Linked DNA regions of Lytechinus pictus. The protein of the gene in region 2 purifies or fractionates together with the protein of the main gene of each other region. This does not show direct contact. Links are inferred from orthologs where the notes say so. Each region holds a gene or a part of one and is shown on either strand. Other genes may lie near its edges.

Region 1 (10,210 bases), about 19 Mb from region 2:
GTATACGCGGTCTCGCTGTTATCAAGTCACGATAACATAGCAATGAGAATCGCATCATGGTAATTGACTGGGAATGTAGCTTGACCTTACTGTGTAAACACTTGAGGACACCATCGGTTCACCTTTACCCCCCCCCCCCTTCTCCCGTCGAAAGGATGTGCAAGCCAAGGAATGGGCCAGATCAGAAAGAGTGATCTCGAAGGCTTGCTCTTTCCATGGACATTACACTGTTACAGCAAAAATTGTGGCTTTGGATATTGTACATACATGTAGACATAATTGAGGACCACACTAGTCATTTTACCCCGGTGTTGATTGTTGGTGTTGGTTCAACACGTATTGATGTTATTACGACACCTTTTGGTTGCTACTTTTACACTCTGGTGTTATGTTCAATCTCTATAGGGCGTAATTTTAACACCTCAGTGTGTGGTTCCGTAGGGACACCAACTGGTGTCAACATTTCAACGAACCAGTTTGTACATGAATATATACAATGTCAGATCGTTACATTCAACATTGCTGAACCCAGGGTGGCGATCCTGGGGGCGGGGCACAGTGCCCCCCCCCCCCCCACTTTTTGAAGCACTTAAAAAGTGTCCTTTTTACGCAAGAAAAAAAATGCCCCCTCACGAACGTGTACTGTGCTCCTTTCATCTGAAGAGGACCCGTTTTAGGTGTTACCAAGTGCCCTCTCTCGTATAAGTGCCACCCCCCCAAAAGAAAATGCCCCCTCACGGACGTGTTCTGTGGTTTTGCCATTTTCACCTGAAAAGGACCCGTTTCATGTGTTAGCAAATGCCATATCTTGTATCAGTGCCAAATTTTACAAAAAATTCCCCCTCACGAACGTGTTCTATGCCCCTTTCACCTGAGACCCGTTTTATAGCAAGTGCCCTTTTGCCATCTTATAGGTGCCCTTTCTCATATCAGTGCCCCTTTTTACCCAAAGAAAGTGCCCCACACGAACGTATTCTATTCCCCTTTCACATGTTTTATGTCTGAGCAATTGCTCCATTGCCTTCTTGTAAGTGCCCTTTTTTCCCAAGAAAAGTGCCCCTTACGAACATGTCCCGTGCCCCTTTCATCTGAGAAGGACCCGTTTTACGCCGTTAGCAAGTGCCCCTTTGCTGTTTTATAGGTGCCCGTTCTCCTATCAGTATACCCCTTTTTACCTACGTAAGAAAAGTGCCCCCACGAACGTGTTCTGTGCCCGTTTCACCTGAGAAGGACTTATGTGTTTACGAGTGCCCCCTTGCCTTATCATAGGTGTCTGTTCTTCATGTAAGATAAGTTGTCCTGAAAACCACTCTTTTCGTGCCCGATGTGCCCCGGTTTCTTTATTTAGCGCCGGTTTTTTTTTTGAAAACTTTTTGAAAAACTCATTCCTTCACTGCAGATTTTCACAAAATCCACCAAAAGTATGCACAAAACTTAACAAAGTGCAAACGCGGCTCAATGATAAGCTCGGTCGCTTTTCTCCCTCGCTTTCAAGTTTTTTTCCAAAAAGTTGACGCGTGCTGCTCCCCAGCTAAAAAAAATATGCATACGGCCATGTTTAAGATAATGCCCTTTTCGAAACAAAAGGTGCCATTTTTCCCCTGTGCCCCCCCCCCTACTTTCAACTTCGCTCCGCCGTCCCTGACTGAACCGACCGGAAATATGACTCTTGTCGATAGGCCTATGGTAGGCCTTATTACTTGTGAACCAGTGTGAACTGCCTTGTCTTTTGGGAACACCGCCATAGTCTACTTGCAGGGGCCGCGGAACGGTTTTGAAAGTGGGGGGGGGGGGGGCTGACCATGCAAAAATGATAATCAGATTGTCATTTCTATGTTTTTGTACATGGTTGTGGAAAAAAGTGGGGGGGGGGGGCTGACCATGCAAAAATGATAATCAGATTGTCATTTTTATGTTTTTGTACATGGTTGTGGAAAAAAGATGCGGGGGCATGTCTCTTTACTTCAATGTCCGGATGTAATTAATAAGTTGACGTCTGAATGTACTTGATTTTTGTCCAGAATCGTGAGAGTGTCAGGTGCTCTACCCGTCATTTTTGCTGTATATTCAGGAAATGATAGCAATTTAGGGACTTGTGTTCTTTTTTTCATATTTGAATAACTTAGGTACTTGTTGATGAGATACTGCATTTCCCTGTTTTTTTTTTCAATGTTGTAACACTCATGTAAGCGTATCATTACGTTTATCTTGATTTAAGTCAAAGATTGTATGCACCTGGGTTCCAATCTAGCAAGAAAAATAGATCATGCTACGTGGCCGAAGGGTGAGGGGTAGGCAGAAAAGCAATCGGTTTGATTATACCAAGAAATGGACTGGTCTTGTTTATGAAGAGATTCTTGACAGAAGGCAATGGGAGGTGCAGGGGCATAGCCCCCGCATATAGCCACCAACCCCTTTCGAAGGGACGACACTAGATGTTATTGAATAAGCCAAATATTCTGTCTCCATATTGGTAGGTCCATGATCCTATTAAGTTTTGGTTTTTTTTCTTGTGTTTTTTCTCAGTTTAATGGATGATAATAACGTCACGTACATGCACGTGGCTTTGATAAACCACTGATAACCGTAAAAAATGTTTATGATTGTCTCTCAGTTATCATTCATCGATATCGATGCTTGTTGCGTTTGTGTATAGTTCAGTTGCACACAGTTCATACGCGAATGTATATAACATTCGATATTACATTCATGTTTTATAGTAGAAAAGTATACCTACTCACGATGTGAGTCACCGCACAGCGCCACCTATGACCGACCTGTGTCTTAATTGATGCTAAAACCGCCATTCTCCGGTTTCAAAAAGTGTATCTGATTTCAAGTCCAAGTTTCCATCCAAGATAGACAATCATCTCTCAAATGTCAGCGGGGTATTAGAGTGACAGAAATCAAACTGCCTTGCAAATTTTCTCCTTGTTGTTTGGATATCGCGATTCATCACGGGGAAATTATTGCTGGGAAGATTCGGTCGTGACATGTCATGTAAATATTCAACGTCTTTATCGGCCATTAATGGTCGGTTGACGAGCTGAGGTAAACACATCACATGGGCAGTAAATCTGTTTAAAAGGTTATTATGACAAGTCATATAGACACCCATCTCCCGTCTGTCTCGTACCTCACTGGGCGCATGGTGTATTATGAGGTCCACGAGGCCGAGTGTCCACGAGACTGATTTTCATATCGTAGGCTATTTTATTTAATCATGTTTATCAAACTTGTCTACTGAAGATACTTCCGGCTTGGGCTATTCTTTAATGTAAGCTGAAATGTAGACTGTTTCACTGTGTAAGTTTCGGTTAATAACAAATAATTATGAGAAAAACAATACGAGTAAAATCGGCCTCGTACCTGAACTATAATTCGAATCTCTTCTCGGTATATGCCAAGAGTTGCCGTGTTTACACGCTGCGTCGACTCGCGGTGTGCAACCGAGAGCCGATCATGCCGATGCACGTGTAAACACGGTAACAGATGCAACTTTTGTTATTAGTTTTGATCACGATCGTCCCAGGAGTCACACATATCCACTCCTGGGTAGAGAGAGCGAGATAGAGCCTTCTTACGCTCTACAAACTGGGGTGTTAAACTGACACCCGTTGATGTCCCAAGACGGCCACACCCTTTATTTGAACATAAAGCCAAAGAGTGTTAACCATGTTAACGACTAAAGGTGTTGTAATATAGGCATTGAACTAATATTAAATCTAACACTGGAGTATAATGACCGGTGTTGTTCGCTAGTTTGCTCGCCAAAAGAAATAGATAGCATTATTAATTCGAAAAATCGGAGGGAAAGTAATTTATGATGGTCTGACGCTGATAAAACTCAATTTCTTATCGAGAGAAAGCGGAAACTTTGGAAATTGCTCTTCTAGGGTATCCCCAAGTCCCAAGCCGAAAGTACGGGCTACCTACCCACAGCGGGTTCGTAGTACTTCCAGGTCCACTCTATATCTACCATATGTGTGCAAGGTAGGCTGGTCTTTCAGCCGGTCCGTCTGTTCAGATCACTATATACAGGTAATGATGATGCACCCTATCACCTATTACCCCATAATGATTTAAGACGTGACTTGTGAAATATCAGCTTAATCCATGGTGTAATTGCATTTCATGTCAAGCGCTGTAAATTTGACAAGAATGCAGTCATTACCCCCCAAAGGTATATATACCAGAATTATAGCAGTGGTCATGGTGTAAGGAGGGGGGGGGGGGTACTTAGGAGTGGCAGCAGTTTAGTAGCAGTGTAGTAGTAGTAGTAGTAGTAGTTCAAATTTAAACTAGAAAATCAGCACTCATAGTGCAGTCACTATACAAGCACTGTAAATGCTAAATTAGCACATCATTTTTTACAGTGTAGTAGTAGTAGTAGTAGTGGTAGCTGTAGTAGTGGTAGTAGTATTATTATTATTATTAGTAGTAGTAGTAGTAGTAGTAGTAGTAGTAGTAGTAGTAGTAGTAGTAGTAGTAGTAGTAGTAGTAGTAGTAGTAGTAATAGTGGTAGTAGTAGTAGTGGCAGTAGTAGAAGTAGTAGTAGTAGTAGTAGTAGTAGTAGTAGTAGTAGTAGTAGTAGTAGTAGTAGTAGTTGCAGTATAGTAGTAGTAGTAGTCGTAGCAGCAGCAGCAGCAGAAGTAGTAGTAGTAGTAGTAGTAGTAGTAGTAGTGCTCCTAGAGGGAATCCGAAGAGCGGACACTACATGTATATTATAACATAATCGTTTACATTATGTTTTATCAACATACTTGCATCTTATACACTGTAAAAACACTGATTAAAATTTAAAGCACGTGGTTTAAGCCCGTCACTCTAACAACTGTTTAAAAAGTGTAAACAATTACAACAAGTAATTTAACAACTTGTTGTTAGAGTGACAGGCTTAAACCATGTAAACAACGTGCTATTTTTTTAACTGTGTAGCAGAATTGTGACGGTTATTGGCTTTTAATTGTCTGAAATTAGTTTCAACAACATATTGCTTGCAAAGTTCTTGAAATCGCTGTCTTAATACATGTATATTAATGCGGAAAAGAAACCTGTCTGGTATCAGAGAACAGTGACTGGCTAAATCATGTTAAATTCTGATATTCATCGATCTGGCGATATTTCATCAATACAATTAATCCATGAGTATCATGGTTATTGTCAAGACAACACATAGATTCTGAAGACCAATCATGTCTTACGCCACCATGTGATATGTTTTTTTTTTCTGTCTATGCATGGTTGCCATGGTTTCTGCTGATTATCAGAAAGCATTATTGCCCTCGGCACGCTCCATGTATAATTGAATCCCATGACGCATGCACATTCATCATAAAAATATGAAATGAATGAAAACACTTAACATTCGTATTTCCATGATTTTTTTCTTCTTCTATGCCATTATACGTCGTACGGTTTGTCCATCGTATTAAGATATCATGCATAATAACACTCAAGATTATTTTGGTCCATGAATGCAGGCATACAGAGATATTTAGCTTCAATTGGCTTCCATCGTTCCATGTACAAAAACGATAGAAGATACAATGCATCACATCAATTCCGCAATTCCCTTTCAAATTCATGATCCATTTGTACGAAGTATGCATGTATAAATAAATACCTTCTCCCATAGATACATTATTCCTTTCCTTATGAAAAGTTAAGAAAATAATGCTACTTTCACGAATATTCATCCCCCAAAATAAACAGATACGACCATGGGTGAGGCTACAGGGGGTAAGGGCGACAGCCCCTGTGATTTCTTAAGTAGAAAGAAAAAGAAAATGGAGACGAAGACGAAGATGGGAAAAAGTGGAAGAACAGGGGGGGGGGCAGGAAGAGTATCAAAAGGAGAAATCCTGCTATTGAATTTAAAAAATGAAGTCGATAAGGTCATCGCATGGTCTGTTCGTGAGACTAACGCCCATATTTATATATGAAAGAAAATATAAGGCTGTCATCGACATATTTGTATCAAAAACCTATTCCCTTGATTATTGCCGATAGTAAATTGGAGCGAAGGGAAGATTGGATTACTTCATGTCATGAAACGTGGATCCTCATCCATGTTTTATCCCTGACATATCAAACTTAAATGTCAAGTCCACCCCAGTAAACTATTGATTTGAATAAATAGAGAAAAATCAAACTAGCATAACACTAAAAATTTCATCAAAATCGGATGTAAAATAAGAAAGTTATGGCATTTTAAAGTTTCGCTTATTTTTCACAAAACAGTGATATGCACAATTCCGTGACATGAAAATGATTCAGTCGATGATGTCCATCACTCACTATTTCTTTTGTTTTTTATTGTTTGAATTATACAATATTTCATTTTTTAGAGATTTGACCATAGGGACCGAATTGACTGAATCATATAGTATTAAACAATGCTAATTCCACATGTTCAGAGAGGAATTGATCACCGTTTCACTTGACAATGAGGAGAAAATTAGAATATTTCATATTTCATATAATGAAATACAAAAGAAATAGTGAGTGGATGACGTCACCAGTGTCCTCATTTGCATACCGACCAGGATGTGCATATAATTGTTTTGAGAAATTAAGCGAAACTTAAAAATGTCATAACTTTCTTATTTTACATCCGATTTTGATGAAATTTTCAGTGTTACGCTTGTTGGATTTTTCTTTTTTTATTCAAATCAATTTTTTGTTGGGATGGACTTGTCCTTTAAAGTACATGAAGTATCATAAATAGGCCTATTTTCCTGGAAAACCGATATAGGTGATATACTTGCCTTTGTCATGTTTATGGATCTTTACTCTCTTAAAAATGCTGAGCAACATACTGTCTACACAATGGGTTAAAACTTTATCCAATTCTGGGTAGTTTTAAACCAATAATGTGTGCTTTGGGTGAAAACTACACAGTATTGGTTGAAAACTACCCAGAGTTGCAAACAAAATTAACCAATCGTTGTGTGGACAGCATGTTGCCCAACATTTTAAGAGTGTAGGTAGCAGTGGCGTATCTACAAATAAAGCGACGAGGGTAAACGCTTCAATCGCCCCGGCCCCCATCTGGTCCCGGTTGCCTCCCCATTTGTCTGTTATAATCAAATTCAAATTTTCTCCACATTTTGCCTTTTGCGATGATTTAAAATCTGGCGGGGGGGGGGGGGGCGGGGTGATTTTGTTGTCAACTTAAATTCTAAACCCAAGTTGAATAGGACCTATGAGAATGTTACAAGTGTTTTTTTCGTTTTCCCATTTTTTTTTTCACTTTTACTTTTAATTTGGAATCATGACGAAGTGTTGCTCGTAGTTTCAGAGATCAGGGGCCCTTAACACAAAGCTTAGCAATCATTGTACTGTAGGACATTTAAAAACTATTGATTGCAGTGACTGTAGTGTACAATCAATCGTGAAAATCAAGCATACGATAAATCTTTCACTTTTGTGTAACAGGTCCCGGGAGAAAAAAATGGGAGGAATTGAAATCTTGTATTCAGAGCAGGTATTTGGAAGGTGGATAGGCTTTTATGTCCTTACATACATGGTATTGGTTATATCAAAGTGCATAATATATTATTTTATGTTTTGGTTTTTTTTATCCTGCCAATCTCCTGTAAATAATTTTTCTTGGTGATTTATAATAAAAACATAGATTTACGAAAAAGTCCGTATGAATAATGTAATATTGATAGATTCCTAGTTTGGGTAAACGCATGTATTACTTGTAGTACGAGTATGATCGGGGATTTGTTAGTGACTCACAATATTTCCTACTTGTGGACTCAACACCAGATTCTGATATGCGCCATTTTAGAATTGAAATGAAGACATCACTTGACGGTGCTGGTGGAGATTTAAAAACCCAGATGTGATACCTGCATGCCTAGCCTCGGGCCACTGTAATGAGAAACTGTCTACTTGTATGCCTATTGTAAAATAGTACAATGTACATAATATCAGCCTTCCAGTTAGGTGCGTTCACACCAATTCGATTTTTACAGGGTCACACGGCCGTATACATATTAGCCAGCTCGCGGATATTTCGCCCCCACCCCCGCCCCCAGAAAGTGTTACGCAATTTTGGGTTGCTATAAGTTTTTTCCGTGTTAGCTTGTCAGATTTCCTGGTGGGGGCAACAGAGGTGTATTATTCACGTCTGGGATCGAAATTGAACGTCACCATCCGAAAGACGTGACGGCGGCTCGAGCCTCGAACCTCTGCATCATATTTTTATCTCCCCAAATTTAGCTTGGATTACGGGCGCACGCCGCAACGCCCATAAGATGTGTGGACTGTTTATACATGTATATGGCTGTGGACTGTTAAATAACCCTTTTTCAGTTTTTACAAGTATTTTTTTTTTCTTGCAGGAAATATGCTATCGGGGATTGTTTTGTTAATTTGAATGTTCTGTGTATTCAGCTCACTTTAATTTCATCAAGTTACTATTTATCAAACAAAGTCAATGGCGTAATGATACAATATTTTCTGAGGGGCTTCGTTTTGATCTGATTTACTTCTGCTGCAAAATCATATGCAAGCGAGTGAAGCGAGCCTTTATTATGGACTCCCTTTCGACGTTGACATATATTTGCCATTTAATATGCCAGATCAGTTGAAGACCCAATGAACATCGTGATATTGACTATTGTAGTGTCAGACTTTTATTTAAATTCAATTCAATTCATTTATTTTCCTCTTTCAATCTTTTCATATTTACTAATGATAGTTCAATTTGCATATATACAACACATAACACTTTAATTCATTACAATAACATAAGATCGAAAGGGAAGGAGACCGACTTAAAAGCAGAGCTTGTAGGGTGAAGGCCCCCCCGTTTCGAAGAACATGATATAACTTATAGTAAAAAGAAAATAACAAAAATGAAATAAATGATTGAATGAATAAATAAATAAATAAATAAATAAATAAAAATGAATAAAATGGAATAAGTAAAACAGAAGTAAATAAATAATGATGTTAACAAAAGTAATCATTTGATATTGAAAAAAAAATGGAAGGGGGTCTCCTGCCCCCAACCCCACCGATACACTAATGAAAAAAACAACGTTATCTAGTCAGTCTCGAGGTCTTCTTGTACCTAAGGTTACATGCATTCCCAGACACCTTACACTCAAGAATCATTCTCATGTGGAGTCCCTCTGTGAGATGTATGTGGGCCACAAGAAAATATTCCGACAGCATATTCCTGCGGATTCCTTCCGTTCCATAAACTGTTATTCTTCGGGGGTTTTCCATAGCAAGGTCCTTTGCTGGGCTTCCTTTCTCTCCCGCTGGATAACAGACGTTACAATTGTAACTCGATCGTTTTCTCCGCAGCAAGGGAAGTCGAACCACTCTCTTCAAAGCCGTATACGGTTTCCCTCTCAATTCTTGCAGTCGTGGATGTTGTTAAGATTCTGATAACAATGGAGGCATTTCAATAGGGAGAAGTAGGGATATTGTATTCTTTTGGAGAGTGAAACGTAAATATTTTGACGACTTGCAAGAGTCAGGGTCATATTGAACATGATCACCTTCAGATGATTACGTAATACGCATGGTCAGTGCCCTTAGTAAGTAAATATAGGATCCATGATTACAGAGATGAAGTTATTTGTCAGAGAAAGTGATGAGTGATTGTGGGAATATAGTGGATTATTGTGGTTACAACATAATAATAATAATAGTTACATTTATATAGCGCTCATTACTCTTTGTTTCTAAATGATTTGCATTACAATTATTATTACCCCGGTCATCGGATCCTGGCATGCCCGCACACAATGTACAGGTATGGACATTCTCCACTCCCTGGGAGCATTCCAACAAAAGTTCCAAGACTCAGTTGTTTTTAGGCAAACTACATAGGCTTTCGCGTCCTACCGGGTACCCATTTAACACCTGGGTGGAGTGTGGAAACTTTTGCATGGATTGACGCCTTGCCTTGCCTAGGTTCTCGTCTCCTGTCATCTGTCTGATGACGCAGTCGGTAGAATTCGTGTCATACCCTGGTCAGGGAATTCTCACTAACAATTCCCTACCCTGATAATGATAGATGGGAGTTTTCTTCCAACTCTGATCAAGTATATTACAGCGGTCTCGTACATCAAATTAATATCTAGATAAGGTGTAACACGGCACGGATCCGATGGGATGGGCGCTCGTTTCCCTCCGCGGAACCCCCATGCAACCCACTTTTTTTTTTTTTGGGGGGGGG
Region 2 (10,279 bases):
CCTATGACCATACACCAGAGGGTTGATGCATTCATTCAGCTTCGAGGATACCCTGTCCTCAACAAAGATGTTGACTCAAGGTATACTAATCCTTGCTCATCAATGACAAGAGGTGTCTGGGCTCTCATTGAAGCAAACTCTTCAATACAGGTGATATCCCACCCATTGTTGAGGGATGGTTGCAGAATCTTCAGTACTTCCTACTCTCCATTGTCTATTCAAGGCTTATCTTTTGCTTGATGACTATACAGTAGACCTACATCCTCAAAGATACACATGTACACCTACTCAGAAGCTTTCAATAGAGAGCATACATTGTTCTAATACATTGTAAACCAATATCATGCTGTAGGAATGCAGATGTAGATCTATGCTATATGGTCACCATCACCACATGCTCTAGGGAACCTACCTAGTGCTTGTAGTTAGTTACCAATCTGCAAAAAAAATATAGGATTCAGAAACATGTTGCATCTTGAACAATTTCTGCATGATACATGTACATGATTTTCTTTACTTGAAATGTTTTTCTTCTAATCAGCATTAATGGTAGAGGCTAAGGTTTTGACCCCCCCCCCCCCCCCCCACCCCCTTGGTATACAGATTTAGATGAAGAAAAAAAAACTACTATTTTTCTTTATTGTTCAGTTGAATCTGACAAACCCCTAGTTTAGTTGTCTGTGTGATCCTGATGGTTTGCCAGATTGCAGAGCTTTAAGGGCTTGCAAGCAAAAGATGCTATTTATATATCTTGACTTGGACAGCACATAGATATAAGGCATATATCCTTCGAATTGCAAAGTGATTTGAAGTGTTTACGCTGGGTCAGAAAGGGCCATGAGAAGGAACAATAGAGGGAGGAGAGCTTGGTGGATAGGTGCCAAGATTCCCAAGAAGCCCCCATTCATTGGTCCAATGGGTCAATAAAACACTCACACCTGGTCTAAGAGGATTTTAGACACAGGAATGAAAGGTTACAGAGACATGATGCTGTAATCACTTGACAACATTACACTTCTCATGGACAAAATATACTTTGTGATTCTTCGATGTCCAGATGAAGGGGTCAATAAAAACGTTTTTTTTCCAAATTGCCAGAGATATACAAGAGAGACTACATGTACATGTCACTTTTTTACACCGATGCTCAATGACATACTTGAAGTCACATATTAGCCGCCTGTTACCTCAATGAACACACCTATAGAGGTATAGATAGTGATGATGGATCAATTCTCATTTATCAATTAGTGTTCTAGCCTCATTACGTAACTCATTTTGAACACTCATGATGACACCTACTACATTGTACAGTGTACTCTCAGAAATATATGTATGGACTTAAACCAAACCTGAATCTGAAGGATTCTGATGTACTTGCAGCCGATTATTTTCATAAAAAAAGGTACTATCTGAGTAGCTTCAGGATTTTTGTTCTCAAAGTCCAAGGCACATGAAAGCAGTACTTTCAAGTATTATGCTTTTTGATTTGTTTCTTTTAAGATTTAGACATTGTAAAATGCAGTCTACATGTACGTCATAGACAAGCAAGTTTGGTGTTCATCAACATGTACCAGAGGCATGCAGAGAATGATAAAGATTCAACAATGTCTCTACTACATGTACATGTACAATAAGAAGAAGAGCAACAATAATATTTACCATTCCATTTAAAAAGCACAGAGCTCTATACTCAATCGTACATAATATACAAGAATTGTGTTTATTTATACCCAAGCTTGCCCTGGTTTTGTTCATGAGGTGCCATAAACCCTTTCTGGTGGATACTTCCATGTACTTCTTGAGTTGTATTGATCATACACTGAAAAGTACAGGTGTGTTAATATAGAATTATCAAACAAAATGAAAATACTGTACCATGGAGCTAGATGGCTGTACATTGTGTAGGCCTACCTCTGAAATTCTCAACCCTTTCTTTGTGTTAAAACTGATGAACACCATGCTCAAATCATAATTCATTTTAAAGATTAAAAGCCTATAAAAGGTACCGGTAATGATAAATTAAGCATTTTTTTTTATCCAAGGATTCTGCACTGACCAGCTCCAACAATAAATGCTTTATAAAGGGCCATTTTTTTGTTTTACATATCATACTAAAGAAACATTTGAAGGCATTACTACATGTATGTTCAAAGACACAACCCTTGAAGAAAGGCTAGAGTACAGTGCACACAGCTTGAGAGAAACAAGTCCCTCGATGAAAGACGCAATTAGGAGAGTTTACTTGCTGGTGTTCAACCCCCCTACAGGGTAGGTTTACAGGGACAGATGGATAAATATGCGCATAAACTTCAACAAGCCATGAGGTACATGTATGAAAGATAGAGGATCTCTCAAACAATAAACTTCATTAAAAATCAAGATTGCAGTAATACTTCATGATACAAGGAAGGTTACAATAAAAAAATGTTTGAACATTTGTGAAAAAGGGCCCCTAATAGATTATGGAATTGAAATATGGTATAGAAAGTCACTTGCCTTGTTATCAATATCCCAAATATTGGTTCACTCCAGCATAGATGGTGACAATCCATAAAGTAAAATTTCACTTTAAAAGTAACCAAGAAAAAATTGTAGTCCAAATACATGTAGAATAAACTTCCACAGTACATTACCAGTTATTGTACACATCGCCAATTCATTTCTATTCTCAGTTTGAACAGGTGATACAAGTACTAGATAAATAAAAGGACGTTTAGAAGCTTAGAAGTAGGGAATTCCTCTATTTTGTGTTGAGTCTAATACAAAATAATAAAGCATAACTTCAAAAACAAATCAGCAGTGCTCAAAATGCACCATGAGAATGCTATTTGAGAAAACAAAGGGAAGAGCATAGTTTTCATATCGAGATAGCCTACATGTACATGTACAGTAAATCAGATACTAATCACATTCATTCGTTCCTTACTTCACAGAAAAGGGATTTTGCTATTAAGAACTTGATTTTATAAAAAGCATTTGAAAAATATTAGTGTTCAATACCATCTAATCCTAGAAATCACCCCATCTTTTTTCTAGCTATGAAAATATCAAAGCCACACCAACATTTTATAAATAACTTCTTGTAACTACAAACATTTTTTACCCCACCAAGCATAACTTCAAACTGCTGACTACTTCAGATTGTGAGCATATTCATCTTGATTTGCAGAAGAACGTCTCCTTTAAATCACCATACAAACGAATTCCTTCATCAATCTTCCTCCTGAAGTTTTATCCGCAGATTTTCAAGTGAAGAAAGTTGGGATTGAAGTCCTAGTACAAACAACGCTGCACGATGTAGTTTTGATATCTTAACTTAGCAGGGATTGGGACTGCACCCTATCAGGAACTAGTGGGTGGATCTCTCAAAGCTCTTAACCCAAATCCTTTTCTTCTTCATTAGAGAGAAGTTCAGGAAGAATGCCAGAAACTTCCAAGATTCAAGACTTGATCGGAATAGACGAAAGCCATTGGGGTAGAAAGAAGATACTGAATGTAATTTGTAGGAAAATCCATGCAATACATCATCTTGTCTCTGTGAAAGTATTCAACTTTTCATCGGTATAATTTAAAAACATTTTAAAACCAACAGATACATGTACATGGAGAACATCAAAAGGCATTCTTGTGTCATTAATCAATTCAACAAACAGATTAGAAATTGGCCTACAAGTAAGAAAACTCTATATTGAATGAAAGGAATTTCAAGAATGTCATACAGTATATTGAAAACTATACTTCTATGCTCACTTTCTCAAAAGCATCCAAAAACATGCAAATTGGTAAAATAATTGAACAGGAAAAGCATCAGGAAAATTTTCAGAGAGACTATGATTGATGTCTGCTATTCGAAAGTGTTGGCATTTTGAAGTGAATTTGATTTTCAGAAAGCGTGTATTACCGGTACAAGTATACTTGGAGTGATATCCATCAAACTCGAAATGCAAATTAAATGCATAAAAACATTTTTAATTATTTGCCAGATTTGCCTTAATTTCAAACACCTTTTCACCAATGAAGCTGTGATGCCTTCAAATGAAAGATGCTAATAAAAAGATGAAAAACATAACAAAGCCAAAAATGCATAAAACTCACCGCCTGTAAGGTGACCAGGCAAACTCATGATGGTAAAATCCAAAAAGAGTAAAAATCCTCAGTAGATATTGAGATAAAAGCTGAAGAATGGTGAACAAGAGAAGAATCCCATAGGATAAAACCTGCAAACAAGTCCCATACTCTAATAAGACCACATGACCTAACCCTCGCTAACTCACTAAATGGTCCCTTCCTCACAATGACATGACTGCCCATACACTCTCATTTACAGTACAACTAGTCTATGGTGTTCAGACCTTCAGTATCAAAACTCAACAAAATAGAGATTTTGTCTGGCACATGTATTTCTAATCTATACTTGTATCTTTAAACATTACAAATATTCTCAAGCTGTTAATGAATTAAATGGATTTTTTTTAATTCTTTTTAATTTTTAAGTCACATCTTCAAAGTAAACTCGGTTGACAAAAACAAAAATCACAGCTACATGTAAATGTATGTTGTCATCGCTTTCAAATTAAAAATCCTACAACATACAGTTGATATTCTTCCATGATCATACTTCATAACATGAATATGTTTATCAAAGGCAAAACTTTCACAAAAGCCCTGGTGATGAGAGCCATGAGAATTTATGTGACGATCTGAGAGTGTGCAGGGATTTCAATAAGGTCAGAGATACAAGACTAGCTAGAGTTGCCCTCATTGGTTGAAGTTTTCAATTTACACAGGAACTCAGCAACTAAGGTGTGATAGAATTGGAGAAGTCCTGGCAAACAGGTTACTCCGTGTTCACACAAACACTTTATTCATTGGAAAATATTCTTGGCATTGGAATATACAGTATGTAGAAATGTGTGTTAGTTCCAGATTTTATCCCCTTCAATTCTCTGAATCTTCCATAACATTTCCATACTTAACAATTTTACATGTAAATTTATTATTATATGTTTAAATCTAAAAGCATAGGGTGCAAATTCAATGACCAATAAATACATACATGTATATGTAGGGTATATAAATTTGAATGATTGAACAAGGAATAATTTTAATATGTAGTCTATATAAAGATTGTATCCTTCATTCATATTTATGAGGGGGATATATTGCATACTTTGTACAATACCACTTTAATGAATTTCATTTAAAGAGGTGGAATTTAAAAATCAAATGTGATTCCTTCATATTTGAGAGAGGATAATTTTGAGTTTGGTTAGTGCACACATCATACAGAACCAAGGTCAAGACCCAACAAACACAATTTAGACCCCTTGATTCAACATGGTGTATTTGAAGGAACTTTTTTTTTCATTATTTTCTAATGAAAGCAGAACCCAGTTGCATTATCTTGAGTGTATAGACAAAGATGGGTCAATATTAACCTCATAAACATCCAAAGGAAATTACATTGTAGATTGTAGTAGGAGGTGCTTAAAGGAATCTATCATTATTTCCTGCGTCATTAGAATCAGTACAAATCATGGATATGTACAGGCACATGCTTATGAATGATATAGGAAAAGGATACATACCATTACTCTTGGAAAACAAGTGAATCACATTTTATTCTCCATACATAGAAAAAGCAGAAAAATCACTGGAAAGACCTTGCTCTTGTCTATTTTTGTGCAATTCAATAGCATATTACATGTATGCAGACCCTATTAAATAATCAAAGAAATTAGTCACTACAGATTAATTAATACAAGAAAAGCATGCAAGTAACCATCTTTTGTTACAAGTATGATATCAGTTGTGCATTCTTTATGAATTTTTACCACTTTTTTATAGGCCTACATGTACATATCGGTAGCATTTCATGAAACAATTTGTAAACTGTGACTTTTATAGACTGTTTGTTATAAGCTACTGAAATCTTTGCATCTCATTGGCTAGGAGAAACTTTGTCAGTGAAGATCACCGACTAGATGCTTCATGGAAATGCATCGGCCCTTTAAAAGTAGATGGGACTACATTGTAGCGATAAGCATCTATCATCAAGCCCATTACATTGTGTTGAATGATGGACATGTATTCTTGAATGATGGGGCAGTTTACTTGTCAAACATGACCCAGATAGGCTGTGAGGGACCACCTGTGCATACACACCATAAGCTCAACTTTCTTTCCCCCCTTTACACCAATCAACCCTCCTGATTCCATTCCTTCAACATCTTATCCACACAATCAATACTTTTAAATGATTTCTAGTTGGACCCTAAATGGACAGTATATCATGGCTCTTTACTAGTCTTTAGTATTACATGTATAAAGAAACACCTGACAGCTGGACAAGTAGTCTATTTTCGCTTTTCAATTAACAAAAATATTTTTAAAAAGAAAAAGAAAAATTTACTACACATGCAGGCCTTAATATACACCTACCAACAAAATAACAGAACAGAAAAAAATGTTTTCTCGGTATACGATTTGGGGTAGTTTTTTGTTGTTGTATTGTACATATTCAATATTCTGAATGAAAAGTATGATGTTCTACTTACACTTGGGCATCTGGGTGGGTAAACAATCCACAACAACAAAAATAAGAAGACATAGAACAGTAATCCTCTTGTCAAGTATCATCTGTACTAGATCCATTGTGCAACTACAATAGCATCCAATTTTTTTTTTTACTGTTTATGGATTCTTTGGAATGAAGATTCAATTCTCATCTCCAATCAAATCATATGAAAGCGATAAAGTGACACAAACAATGTGGATCCGATAATGTTAAGATAACCAAACATGGATTGGAAATGACATGATATTCCAGGCAGCTTGGATATCATATTCCTTGCAAGATTTTTTTTTTATCCAGTCGGTAATGAAGACCATTAATGATAGAATCACACTTGCTTGTCTGCTGGCACCGGAAATGTTACAATAGAACAATGATCGCTGCTAGCTACTCTCTCCATTAAAGAGCAATGGGTAAAGTGAAAGAGAGAATGGAATAAAAAGTTGTAGCACAGTGGAGACAGACAGACTGACTGCGGGAACTGGGAACATTAATATTCAATGAATATTCTTGGCTATCCTTTTCAACACTCACTTGATAGCTCTGTGTATCAACTTTTGGTGGTAATTAATGATAATCACAAATGTTTGCTGGCTTTTAAGAAACCTTAAAATCGCCCAAGCTATGGTTAAAGTAACTCTTTTGTATAAAATCAGATGGCAATGTTCAGAAAAATCCTGCATTTCCATGTGAAATTGCCAAAAAATCTGCGGTTTCCCAAATAAGTTGTGTAATTTTAAAAATCCAGCTCCAGATGCTGCTTTATATTTTCATTTAACATTTTTTGTCATAGCTACAGTACATGTAGGTGGTTTGAAGAAAAAAAATGAATAAACGGCTGTTTTCTACTCCGCCGTAGAGCAAATGTGAAGGATGTATAAGGGATTAATTTTATGATTGGGCAACGTGTAGGCCTACATTCACCTGATTATTATATATTATATATAATAATATATTATATACATATATATATAATATATTATATATAATATATTATATATATATGTATATACATGTATATATAAAATACAGTAAATATTGTGGGGGTTGAAAATCAGAAGGAGCAACGAATATGCAAACAAAGTCTGCAAACCCCATGCTTCATTGTGGAGCAAATAAAAACTAAGTGTGTAAAAAAAGGGGGGGGGGGGCATGTTAGTATTAATAATATAAATATATATTATATGGGCATAATAAAAGATAAAGATCACAAAGGCATTGTAATCATTTTTTTGCTACGTCTTGTCTTGGCTTTCAAAGTACCGGGACAGTAGTACATTTACATGTATGATTGATAAACAAAATAAATATTAATAGAATCCAGCTGTACATTTTAGTTGACTGCCCTCTGGGATGAGGGATCCAGTAGAGAAGAGCATACACACATATCTACATTGGGCCGAGACTGTCACTACAACTAATTGAGGAAACGAGGGGAGACACAGCCAATGCAATGAAATGGAATAGTGGCGCCAGCTGAAGCATCAATTCTAACTCGCATTGAAAGCTAGTCGTTACGATCACTATAGATTCACTGGACCTAGCCAGGCAGTATGAATGGAATTATGCTACTGGACTCCTATTCTCAATACAAAGTTACGATCGTAAAAGCATGTACCAGCTACTGGTACAGAAATCATACAAATCATGAAAATATATTAAAACCGCTGATAAGTAAATGAGGCCCCCAATATCTTATACCTACATGTAAACACTAATTCTACATTGCTACGACCTGACAATATAAAAACTTGGATTTGTAAACTAATTCTAACTCTGTTACAATAACATCTCGTCTGAAAATCTACAGTAGAGTACATCACATCTTAGTGGATGAATTTGAAAAAAAATGTTTGCCGGTAAATTATGTAATAAAGAATTTGTTAAAAATTGTTTTTGTCAGAACTGTAGGCCCTACACGTATATACATAGGCCTTCAAAAAATCTTTCTAGGTTTACAGTAGTTATGCCAAGGAGCTTGAAGTTCCTTGGGTATTGCTTAGAAATTGTGGATTCCCTGGTTATGCAAATGATATTACTGATCTTGTGAAGAAAAATAAAATTCTCCAATGTGCATAGATGTACATGTAGGTATGCATCAACACATGAGAACAACAAGTAGTCATGATTTGACCTTTGTGCAATCAGGATATAACATCATTCAACAGATGACAGGTCTCGAAACAAACCCAGCAGGGATGTGGAAGAGGTGAATCTTGAAATCTACACAAATCAACACAAAAATCAGTTGTTTTCCATGACAACAAGCAATCCATAACCAATTAAAAAATCAAAGAACTCCATGTAAGAACATCATCTTTCTGACTTCAAAAGAGAATTATAACAAAACACAAAATCATTTTTTTCACTTATGACAGTAGAGGATAGGATAGGGTGTTACATTCATAAATGCTTATTCATCAAAAATGAAAACACAATGATGAAAAATATGGAATTTTGGAAGAAACATTTGTTTTAATCTCACACTCACACAAGAATAAAGACTTGGCATCATACTAGGAATATTGGTTACTCTCACTGAAAATATTTGTTAATGTACATGTATGCTGCTCCTTCTGGAATCAACATCACAAGTTTAAAAAAAAACAGCTGCTATGAAATATGATTGAAACACCATCTTCATGAAACAGAAGGATAACAGGTGAGGTCAGGTTAAAGGTCAAATGTCAATCTCAACTGAAGAACATAGACAAATCCTTGATATTAATGCTTTATAGACTACTGTTTCAATTCAATGTACTGTTATTAAACAAACATAAAACAAAAGAAAGGAAGGAATAATATTTAAAAAACTTAGCTATAAATATCCAAAGTATTTATTGAATGTGTGAACACTAATTACTTTAATTCAATATTTCATACTGTAAACGGCTTACAGTGTATGTATGTACACACATTTATAAGTGTACATTTGTACTATTCCAGGGGGCACATATCATTATTATTAAATCTGCAATTTTTGTGGAAGAGAATTCTCTGTGAATGTCTCACTTTTGTTAACAGTTAAGTCGGGTCTCCAAATTTGCCAGCAAACATTTTTGTAGAAATCACCTTACTTGGTAGAAACCTCCTATATCATTATAACCTTGGCTTTACCAAAACAGCAATTCCATTGAAAACAAATTAGAAGTTATCATGGGAGTTGCCTCAAGTGAAAATTGTCAATAGAATCCTAATTTTCATGTTCTAACTGTAGAGAGCGAATTATGACCAACAACTTCCATTACATGCAATAGACAAATATAAACACAAATTATTGTATCTCACCCATATAAAGTGCCCTACAAAATTTTGAAAATGTTATCGTTTTTTTTATTATTTAATGAATCAGTTTGGAACATAATGGCATTTGCAGCCAGTAAGCATTCTCTTCCTCCATCAATTATTGTTGATAAAATAATAATGGCAATTGACAAAACACAAATAGCATGGGGTGCAAGTGGACATGTAGGCACATTCAACCTGTGTATGTATAGAAGTCATTGCTGATCAAACAATCGGAAGAATGACCCTTGACCTCCACGAGGAGGTGACTGATTGATCCCTCCTTCCTGAGCTGTATGATCCCCCTACCCCACCCCAATCCCCATTAGCTTCCTGTTGTCTCACTACAACCTCTATCCATCACTCATCTCATACTCAGACTGCCACCTGTTACCCTTGGATTTATCATTTTAGATT

The links.
Region 1: the proteins of activin receptor type-1-like (region 2) and protein DVR-1 homolog purify together in Drosophila melanogaster (affinity purification with western blotting, with the first as the bait; 3 studies listed by BioGRID). This does not show direct contact. The link is inferred for Lytechinus pictus from reciprocal best matches to the Drosophila melanogaster genes sax and gbb.

What each region holds. Positions count from the first base shown.
Region 1 is NC_087245.1:29,075,205-29,085,414, reverse strand, and holds the start of protein DVR-1 homolog, read left to right. Parts: upstream 1-5,723; coding exon 5,724-5,742; intron 5,743-10,210. UniProt on the Drosophila melanogaster protein: Required for the growth of imaginal tissues and for patterning of the adult wing.
Region 2 is NC_087245.1:10,046,141-10,056,419, reverse strand, and holds the start of activin receptor type-1-like, read right to left. Parts: upstream 4,300-10,279; 5' UTR 4,127-4,299; coding exon 4,099-4,126; intron 3,648-4,098; exon of another isoform or gene 3,107-3,647; intron 1-3,106.